Arabidopsis thaliana: one gene and its partner. The protein of the gene in region 2 purifies or fractionates together with the protein of the main gene of each other region. This does not show direct contact. Each region holds a gene or a part of one and is shown on either strand. Other genes may lie near its edges.

Region 1 (5,362 bases), on a different chromosome or scaffold from region 2:
TAGCTGCGATGACAAGCATCCGGGAACAAGACTCGGTTGATTCCATCAAAATGGAAGATCCTCGGTTTTGTAGATATATCTCTGAGAAGCAATAAGGGGTATATATTAAGCAAAATTTTGACTAGTATTTTAGTCCATCAAAGCTAGAACAAGAAGAGGAGGAAGAGAAGGATACATACATAATCATCTACCAAAAATTCTTTTAGTTTTGGAGCAGTTCCAAGTCAAAGTACGAGTGGTTCCAACGAGTCTGATCTCCCTGTATATATACTTAACTTTACAAGAATATATGGATTGTGATGTCCTGTGAAAGTATTGAAGATAACTGAATATGAAGGAACAATTGAAGAGCTAGAGGAAATGAGACATTTCATAGAGAAACTGTCATGTCTTGTGCTTGTCAAAGTTCGTGCCTGTGCAATAAACGACAAGGAGAAGTATCGAATCACCGGAGATCTGCTAATGGTTCGTAGATCATCGAAGTGCAATATCCAGATCAAGTTTTATGAGAAAACTAGTAAAGGCATGAAAAAACATTGTTCCCTCCTAGTTTAATAGTATAGTAAGTTGGAACATTATTCAGTTTGTACGCATATTTGCTTATTGTTCTGCTAAACTACTCTCGCTACATATAAAATGTTTGGTCGCATACATAACCATTTTCTGCAATTTCCATTGGACAAAAAAGATGATAATTATTTCTCGATACTGTTAACAAACTACTCATATTCCCCCAAAAAAGAAAAACATTGCAGATAAATGGGGATGACAAATGTGCAAAAAGACAAAGATGCCATTGTGATGATAAGATGTTGTGTTTTGATTACACCATGAGACCCTCAGGAGCAGCAGCAGCAGGAGCCTTGGGTTTCGGTTTGTCAACAACAATGGCCTGAGTGGTCAGTACCATTCCTGCTACGGAAGCAGCGTTCTGTAGCGCACATCTTGTCACTTTAGCCGGATCAATCACTCCAGCTTCGAACAGATTCTCATATGTATCAGTCATTGCGTTGTACCCATTCTCCCAATCGCTGAACATAATCTTTTCCACAACAACTTCTCCTTCAACTCCAGCGTTCTGAGCAATAAGAGCAGCTGGTGACAGCAATGCCTGAACTCAAAACATAAACCCTTATAAGATAACTAGTCACAATTGGTTACAGAACAAATACTGAACCGAAAAACTAAATGCTACCTTTTGTACTATGTCAGCTCCCAAACGTTCATCAGCATCCTCAAAAGTCTCCTTAATGGCGGGAATAACAGTGGAGAGATGCACCAAAGCAGCACCACCACCTGGAACTATGCCTTCCTCGATAGCAGCAAATGTTGCGTTCTTTGCATCCTCGATACGAAGCTTACGGTCCTCAAGCTCAGTTTCAGTTGCTGCTCCGACTTTAATGACAGCAACACCTCCAGATAGCTTCGCAATTCTCTCAGCGAGCTTCTCTGAGTCATACACAGAATCAGTCTCGAATAGTTCTTTCTTCAGCTGAGCAATCCGAGCTTGTAATTCGTCCTTGGAAGCTGCATCTGCAATGAGGGTAGTCGAATCTTTGCTAATCGTGACTTTTCGGGCAATACCCAATTGATCTATGGTTGCGTTTTCAACCAGTAAGCTCATGTCCATGGCTAGGTACTCAGCTCCTGAAAAACATACAAAATGATAAAAAGTTTAGACCATAACAGAGAGAAAGTAAAAGTACTAAACGCACGCGAAATCTGCATATACCTGTCAAGATTGCAATATCTTGAAGCATGGCTTTTCTTCTTTCTCCAAATCCTGGCGCTTTAACGGCAACAACATTGAGGACACCACGAAGCTTGTTCACGACAAGGGTAGCTAAGGCTTCACCAGTAACATCCTCTGCAATAATCAACAACGGAGCACGAAGCTGAGTGGTCTTCTCCAAAATAGGGATGATGTCTTTGATCGCAGTGATCTTCTGATCAGTGATCAATACCCTAGCATTCTCAAACTCAGCTAGTAGTTTCTCAGGGTTTGTAACAAACTGAGGCGAGATGTAACCTCTGTCAATCTGTAAATAATCAAGTTAGTCATTGGCAATGAATGGTGAATAAAATTACAGTTGAAGAGAAGCAAGACAAAAAAACTCATACCTCCATCCCTTCTTCAACTTCGACCGTGGTCTCAAAAGAAGATGAAGATTCAATGGACAAAACACCATCAGGTCCAACTTTGTCGATGGCATCAGCAATCATTGACCCTATAAGGTCATCATTTCCAGCAGAGATAGAAGCCACAGCTGGAAAAAAAAAAAAGAACAGATTGATCAGTAAAAGAAATCAAACATTGCTGCATCACAAGGAAGGTCACTGCAAAGTTAGTACCTCTGATGTCATCACGACCTTTCACGGGCCTAGCTTTCTTCTGAAGCTCTTCGATCAGACCTTGAACAGTCTTATCAATTCCCCTCTTGAGTGAAACGGGATTCGCACCAGAAGTGACGCTCAACAATCCATGTTTGATTATCTCCCGAGCAAGGATAGACGCAGTGGTTGTCCCATCACCAGCAGAGTCATTAGTCTTACTCGCAACCTACCACATAACAACACCAGATTACCGCACCGTATAAATAGCATTAACAGAGACAATAACAAAGCTACACCAACCTCACGAATAAGCGCTGCACCAGCATTTTCCATGGCATTAGGTAACTCAATAGCTCTAGCAATGGTGACTCCATCATTCACAACCTTAGGACTTCCAAATTCATCCAACACAACATTCCTCCCTTAAGAATAACAAATGAAAACACCAAGATAAGTCGAAAGATAAATAACACAGATGAAGATGGAAAGAGTAAAGGAGCTACTAATATTAACAAATACCTCTAGGGCCAAGAGTGAGACCAACACAATCAGCAAGCTTATCAATACCAGCTTGTAGAGCAGCTCTAGAGTGCTGGTCAAAAGCTATTTCCTTTACATTAGCTCTAACACTAAAACGTCTGATTGTCCTCTTGTTGTAGCTAACTCTCTGACCTTGCTGCTGATTTCCTCCTCCCAACTTACTCTGTATACCCACAACATCAATAAAGCAGATTCATTAACATTAATCTCAATCAGTTTCTTCTAATTCCCATAAAAATTAACCTTTTCTCACCAACCCAGAAACCAAATAGAGAAAAGCAATTGAATTGAAACAGAACAAACTAAAGGGTCAAATTCAATCACTTTCTTCAAAAACCCAATAAACCAGATAGAGAAAGGTTTTTGAAAATAGATAACACTGAAGGGTCAAATCCAATCAAAACAAAGTAATGAAAGATGATTCATTTTCTTCTTTAGTAAGTAGCTAAGGAAGGTAAAAAGGAACAAACTTTGTACCTGACGGGAAGAACAGAGGACGGAGGCGGAAGAGAGAGCGTTTGCAGACGCCATTTTGAGAGAAAAGGAGGGAGCTTTTTGAGGAACGTTCTGGATTGGTGTGGATAAGGAAGTGGTTAGTGTAAACGAATAGTGTGGGAGGAGGGGTTAGGGTTTATTAGATAAATGGAGAGAGTAGCTGAGAGAAAAAGGATCCAGAAGATTCTTTGCATTCGTAACGAGAGAACCGTTGATCTTAATAAGCCTTTTTCACCTACTTCTATGGGCCTGTTTGTCTCACTGTTTATGGCCCAATAATAGAAACAGTACTCAAGAAACTTTTATAGTTTGTGTATTCCAAATTCGTTTTTATCCATTCTCTTACTGAATGTACTCACTCTGTTTTAAAATATAAGAGGTTTAAGGTAAATGGATACATATTAGGTCATTTTGTATATAAAAAATAGTATTTAGATTTTGTTAAAAAAAATGATAATGAAAACTGCAAAATATAAATAGTCACAAATAGTCAAATTAAATTTAAATTTAAACTTGTAAAACATCTTATAATCTGAAACAAAATAAAATCCCTAAAACATCCAATATAATGAAACAAAGGGAGTAATATTTAGACCAAACTAATAAGTACAATTTAAGACTTGTGAAAACCATGAGATTATAAAATACATGTTAAGTGGATGAAAACACCTAGCTTAGAGTAGATTTACCCGCTAAGTAAAACAGAAACTCTCATAAAGACAACAGTTACTACTTTTCTAAACAGAGAATAGACTCCAAATCACCTAATTGCTACATGATTAATTGATTTAGTTAAGCCAATACAATTTGTTTCTAAATCTTTTTTCATATAAGTATTGCTTGTTGTACGCATCATATACCATGCATTAAATTAGTTTCCCATGAATAAATTCACTAGTTACGGAAAAGAAAAGTTGGGAAGTGAGATAATAAATCTGACAAAAGTGGCAGTTTCAACTCTGAAGCGTCAATCACATAAATAGTTGCAGTTTGGCGTTGGGTTTGATTTGATTGAGTGAATTGACCAAATAAACACACTTAATTAATAACAAAAGGGAAGTTACGTAACACAAAAATTATAAATAGGGACGTCTACATGTATTATTCCTCAAAAGATGCAGCTTACCATAAGATGACGTCCATATCTTTAATGGAAACCGTGCCGTAAAATTGACTGCCAAAATGTACAATGTAGAAAACATGAGTAAACTAACAGTTGTCCTGATGTACAAAAAAACACACTAACAGTTGTCCGATGAAAAGAAAGAGACATGTAATTTAAAGCATTACGACAAAAAGAGTAAATAAATAACACTGTTGTTAACTTGTTTTAGTAATCTATTGTAATTATTTTCTTGAGTGGTTGTGATTGAAACGAAACAATTTAGTGGACTACTAAGCAAAAATAGTTAGGATATATAGAGCATGCAACAAAAGACATGCAAAAACATAATTTGGTTTGATGTTTTGCATATGTGTTTATAGTTTTCTAAAACTTAAAGTGCCTCATATAAACAAATAATTAAGTTAAAAGTGTATTAAAATTCTGAAATTTAACCACATTCCTATGTTCTATATGAAAAAACAATTATTAACCATTAAACTACCATAAAATAACTAATACTTTATAGACTTATGATTTTATTTTATTTTATTAAAGAATTTAGTTAAAATTAATTTTAGGGCCGTTAATTTTATTGTTTTTTAGATATTCCGTAGTTTATTGCATGTTTCAATTTGTATAAAAATGTGTTTCATTTGGATATTGATACATGTGTATCAGTTTAAAGAAGAAAATAATTTTCGTGGAAAAAAACCGACAAAATAGATTTTTAAGAGAGTAAGTACAGTACCGTGTAATAGAAAGACTGATAAAACCCACCTTAATACGTCAAGAAAAAAACCATTACAGATTTTACGGCTTTACGCAATCATTATTCTCTCTCAGTCTCTCTCAGTCTCTCTCTCTATCTCCCACGGTCGGTTTACATAC
Region 2 (4,599 bases):
ACAAGAACAGAGCAAAATAGGTTTATCAGAGAAACTGAAGTAGCTTACCTGAGAGAAGAGAGACGGCGGCGGTAGAGCGAGGAAATTCTTTTTGTGAACTCGAAAATCCTTTAGACACAAGATTCAACTCTCTTTTAGAAAAATCTTTGTATACTATTGTATTAATACCATGTTATTTGATATCCTAACAACGAGGTCGTTGTAGTATAGTGGTAAGTATTCCCGCCTGTCACGCGGGTGACCCGGGTTCGATCCCCGGCAACGGCGTCTTTTTTGTTTTTCAAGATTTTTAACATCATTAACGTTACCTTTACGTTATTGCCTTATTGGGGATACCTTTACGTCATTTGAGGTAATCGTCTCAATGGTGACACACAAAGCTAAAGAGAAGAAAGGGCTAGCATCTTGTTGTCTGGTAATGGAATTTCGTTTGATTCAAAACCATTGTGGTTCAGCAAACTACAACTAACTATCTTCAGGGTTGCTGGCAGTCTTATGGACTTTGGTGATCATAGTTTATGTCAGTTCCACTTTGTAATGTTGTTCTCTTCATGTTATTCGTTGGTGAACAAGTTAATGGAGGTACAAAGATGGTAAAAACGGTAAGTTACACAATGGAGATAATAAGAAGAGAGACATGTTTAGTAAGAAACAACGTTTCCAAAATCAAAATCTACAACTCTTGAGCGCAAATGCAAAGTCATCTAGAATACTGAACATGCCATAGTTCCAACTGACAAGTATCGAAACTCCGCTAAAATGTCATTTAAGATTTAAAGCAACAGTGTCAAATAGGCTAGTAATCCAACAAACCATTTCATGCGGTCTAGATTTTCTATTCAACCCTTGAATATCCCTGACTTTGAACCAGCATTACAACTCATAATCTGAGACCGCTACTTTAAGATCTGGTTCATGTTTCCTTCGCAGGGCCTTTCTTGGCTGCTTCAGCTGCAGCCTTCTCTGCTTCGATCTCAGCCACAATGATATCAATTTCTTCTTCTTCTAGTTGCTTCAGAACACCTTCCTCTCGTGTCATTACAGCAACCTCAATGTTCTTTCCCCCACTCTCAACAACCTGCAAAATGCAAATCCTTTTCAGCTTCTTTACAAGTTCCACCACTACTTGTGCGTTTGCTAAGTAAGCTCATCTAACATTATAATCCAACTCAATTAGTAAGGTCTTCTACATTTTCAAAAACTTTAACATTCTCTAACATTCACTTTTAACCTAAAGCCACACCTATAAATAATGAAGAATCATAATGAGGTTCAAAGTTTGGCATGTTGCTCACAAAATCACCGGGTCACGCAGCAAAATAATTAATAGGTCAGATCTCATTGTCAACTAAAACTACTAGGTTTAGTTATAGAACATTCACTAACAGGGCACCCCGACAATAGCTCAAAAGAAAACTACAAGGTTTAGTTATAGAACATGATAGAGCAAACTAACCTCAAGCAGAGCACGGATAGCAAGCTTAACAGTTTCTTGGCCAGCGCTTTCTTTGTAGTTTTTCTCCAGAAACTCCCTAATTGAGTTAGAGTTTCTCCCAGTTGCATTAGCTTTCCAAGCAGAGAATGTACCAGATGGATCGGTCTGATAAAGCGCGGGTATACGAGTGTAGGGATCAAACCCAACAATAAGAGTGGAAAGACCAAAAGGCCTCACACCACCACTTTGAGTATACTTCTGTTGAAGCCCTGCTATGTACCGAGTAATGTACTCAACAGTAACTGGGTCCTCCAACGTAAGCCTGTGGCTTTGACACTCTATCCTCGCCTTGTTTATCAAGACACGAGCATCTGCTTTCAGTCCAGCACAGGCCAATGCAATGTGATTATCAAGGCTCACTATCTTCCTTGCTGATCTGAGAAGCAAAAAAATTATCAAAACTCATATGATTGGGAAGGAACACCAACCAGATCCTATATACGGATAACAATAGGTAAAAAAACTCAGATCTATTGGAGCAAGAGCTCAGCCAACAGATACGAAGACGATATTGCTTAGATTTCAGCAAGTTCAACACCAAAATTATATTTTTACGCAGTGAATGATCAATTTGCAGAGTATAACCAAAAACGTGTTCTTATACAAAAAAACACGTCTGAGATACAGGAACTGTAATTGTACACTCGTAGAGAAAAAGACTTAAACTAGGGTTCAGCTCAGATTCTACGATCTAACAATACTAGATTCGCAATTACGAAGTGATACAAAATCCCAACATCAGGATTTAGTTCAGAAGGATTGAAACAGTGATCATACAAGTAGCAATTGAGTAAATCAAGCGAGCTATCCAGGTGAAGCTTAAAACCAAAATCAAAGTGCAGAAACAAAAGTAAATGGACTAAATCCGGTTTAAGCATCTTGTATCGGTAGAGATCGGAGCAATACCTGGAATCCTGGAGCTTAGGGGTGGATTTCTTTTCGACGGCGAGGACGACAGTATCTGTGCCGCGGACTCCGACGGCGGCGTTACCCTTTCGGACGGCTTCTAGGGCATACTCTACTTGGAAGAGGTGACCATCGGGGGAGAATACAGTGATTGCTCGATCGTATCTCGCCATCTTTTACCTTTTTCTGGATCTTGTGAGTGTTCTTTCTTCTTCTTCAAAAACTCTCTCTCGTTTTTATTTCACAGTAAACGATTCCCGACTTAGGCGACAAGCCAAAAGCCCAGCTCTGTTTTAATCACCTGCGGACAGGTTCACGTACACACACCTTCCAGCCAATCAGAAAGAATCATCACTGGATTTATTTCTGTACTGGGCCCAAGATGAGCTACATTGGCCTAAAACTCCAAACATCTGGCCCACTTCTTCAAAACATTAAAACTCCTAACATTGTTTTTTGTCAAATTAATCTGGTAGAATACATAACATAGGTGCAATTAGTGTTTCTAAGCAAACACTAAAAAAGGTAAACGAAGGCAGGATAAGTCACCAGAGATGAGAGTTAGCGGTAAGAAATAGCAGTACAAAAGAAAGATAAAGAGTACTAATACTGCTTCTCGATGCATTAAGAAGTTACAAATCAAACCCATAAATGGGAGAAGATTGGAAGAAACTGTTTATATAGTTTACATAGAATCACAATATACACAGAAAACTAAATATAGAGTTACATCAATCAATCTTCATATACTTTTCCAAAATGAAAAACTAAATGCAAGTTTAGATGAACACAGAACAGTTGAAGGCTGTTTAGTGTTTACTTGGAGCCTTTCTTAGCCTTTAGTTCCGAAACAGACTTGGCCAATGATGAAGGCTTTATGACATTTTTGGGGTTAAATGCCTTTCGAATCTTGAAAGCAACCCATGCCGTTCCAAATGCATGTCCCGCTGCGTCTAGCCCTTCGTTAGTAGCCTCTGCTGCTTTTGTGCCGTACCTGTAATTTCGAAACAGAATCCATGAGGTTTCTTTAAGATCTAAGGAAACTTTGATCACTCTTGCTGAAGATCACTCATGCGGAGATATGTGATTGTTTATATATGCCTTTGCTAATCAATACCTGTGATTGACTAATTCTGTTGTGACAGTTGATGAAGTCGACATTACGTTTTTCCCAGCAACTTCAACAGCATCACAGATCTTGCCTGCAACAAGAAGTAAACATGAAAAGAAGGGTACTAATCCCATGTGCCTTAAACAAAAAAGGGTTCGGTATATAAGGGAAGCCAGCGATTACAAAACATTTGGTAACTTTGAAATTAAAAACCCACAAAAAGAATAATGCTCCAAAGTCCACCAGACTAACTTGTTCAATGCAAGAAGCAGATCCAAGCACTAATACACTATATCAAGGAACTTCTGCTAAATGTCATATTCGAAAAATTGGAAAAATTATGGGAATGGCCATCAGAGGGAAAGTCGGATAAACAATAATTGTAATGCTGGTCATGTCAAAACATGTATTCAAGTGAGATGAAAGAAAGCAAGGCAACTCGTGAATCAAGAAGCTTTTATGACCCTCCAAGCATGGGATAGGAAATATGAGAAACCAAAAACAAGTAATCTACTTACTAAATCCATCGAGGGATGCGAGAACAATCTCTCCAGGCAAGAGACCAAAAAGCTTCTTTCCAGCTTTTGAGTTTGCCATTGAACCAGTGATGAATCCCGAGACTTTGACAACACCAGAAAGAACACCAGTGGCAACTTTCTCTGTCATTTGTGTCACTCTCTTAACCCTTTAGATAGAAACCACATGAGGGAGATAAGCAAAGGCATAAAAATTGATTTCATTCAAGATATACTACCATGAGAATGCACAATGTTCAAACATTTTTAAACAAGAAATTTCATCACTGCTCATAGAATTGGTCTTCTGCAAACAATAATCATCCCTTACTACTCAGTTCTCTAATGATCATGAAACAAGGAACCAGATAAGAGAATCCCTACTAGATTCCTAAGCAGTTATTTTCAAGGTCAAAGATGCAAAATTCCTAAGTATAACCATACCTCTTGATTCTCCTCAGTGTCTCAGGGCTAACATCTTTCTCCTTCTCAGCACGACTAAGCCTATTCTTCATAACCTCGTTTCCCTTCTTGAGTCTCTCCACAGTTACATCCCCACACCACAGTATCCC

Evidence for each region. The genes of interacting proteins can lie anywhere in the genome.
Region 1: the proteins of PAD1 (region 2) and CPN60A fractionate together in Arabidopsis thaliana (co-fractionation; one large-scale study listed by BioGRID). This does not show direct contact.

Annotation. Positions count from the first base shown.
Region 1 is NC_003071.7:11,924,646-11,930,007, reverse strand, and holds CPN60A (chaperonin-60alpha), read right to left. Parts: upstream 3,563-5,362; 5' UTR 3,406-3,562; coding exon 3,352-3,405; intron 3,038-3,351; coding exon 2,854-3,037; intron 2,757-2,853; coding exon 2,635-2,756; intron 2,561-2,634; coding exon 2,353-2,560; intron 2,268-2,352; coding exon 2,122-2,267; intron 2,040-2,121; coding exon 1,733-2,039; intron 1,648-1,732; coding exon 1,196-1,647; intron 1,112-1,195; coding exon 824-1,111; 3' UTR 520-823; downstream 1-519. UniProt on the Arabidopsis thaliana protein: Binds RuBisCO small and large subunits and is implicated in the assembly of the enzyme oligomer. Involved in protein assisted folding. Required for proper chloroplast development.
Region 2 is NC_003074.8:19,029,061-19,033,659, reverse strand, and holds PAD1 (20S proteasome alpha subunit PAD1), read right to left. Parts: upstream 2,735-4,599; 5' UTR 2,575-2,734; coding exon 2,402-2,574; intron 1,872-2,401; coding exon 1,457-1,871; intron 1,079-1,456; coding exon 914-1,078; 3' UTR 526-913; downstream 1-525. Other genes in the region: AT3G51250 (Senescence/dehydration-associated protein-like protein), read right to left, coding at 3,218-3,395, 3,519-3,603, 4,031-4,197, 4,472-4,599. UniProt on the Arabidopsis thaliana protein: The proteasome is a multicatalytic proteinase complex which is characterized by its ability to cleave peptides with Arg, Phe, Tyr, Leu, and Glu adjacent to the leaving group at neutral or slightly basic pH.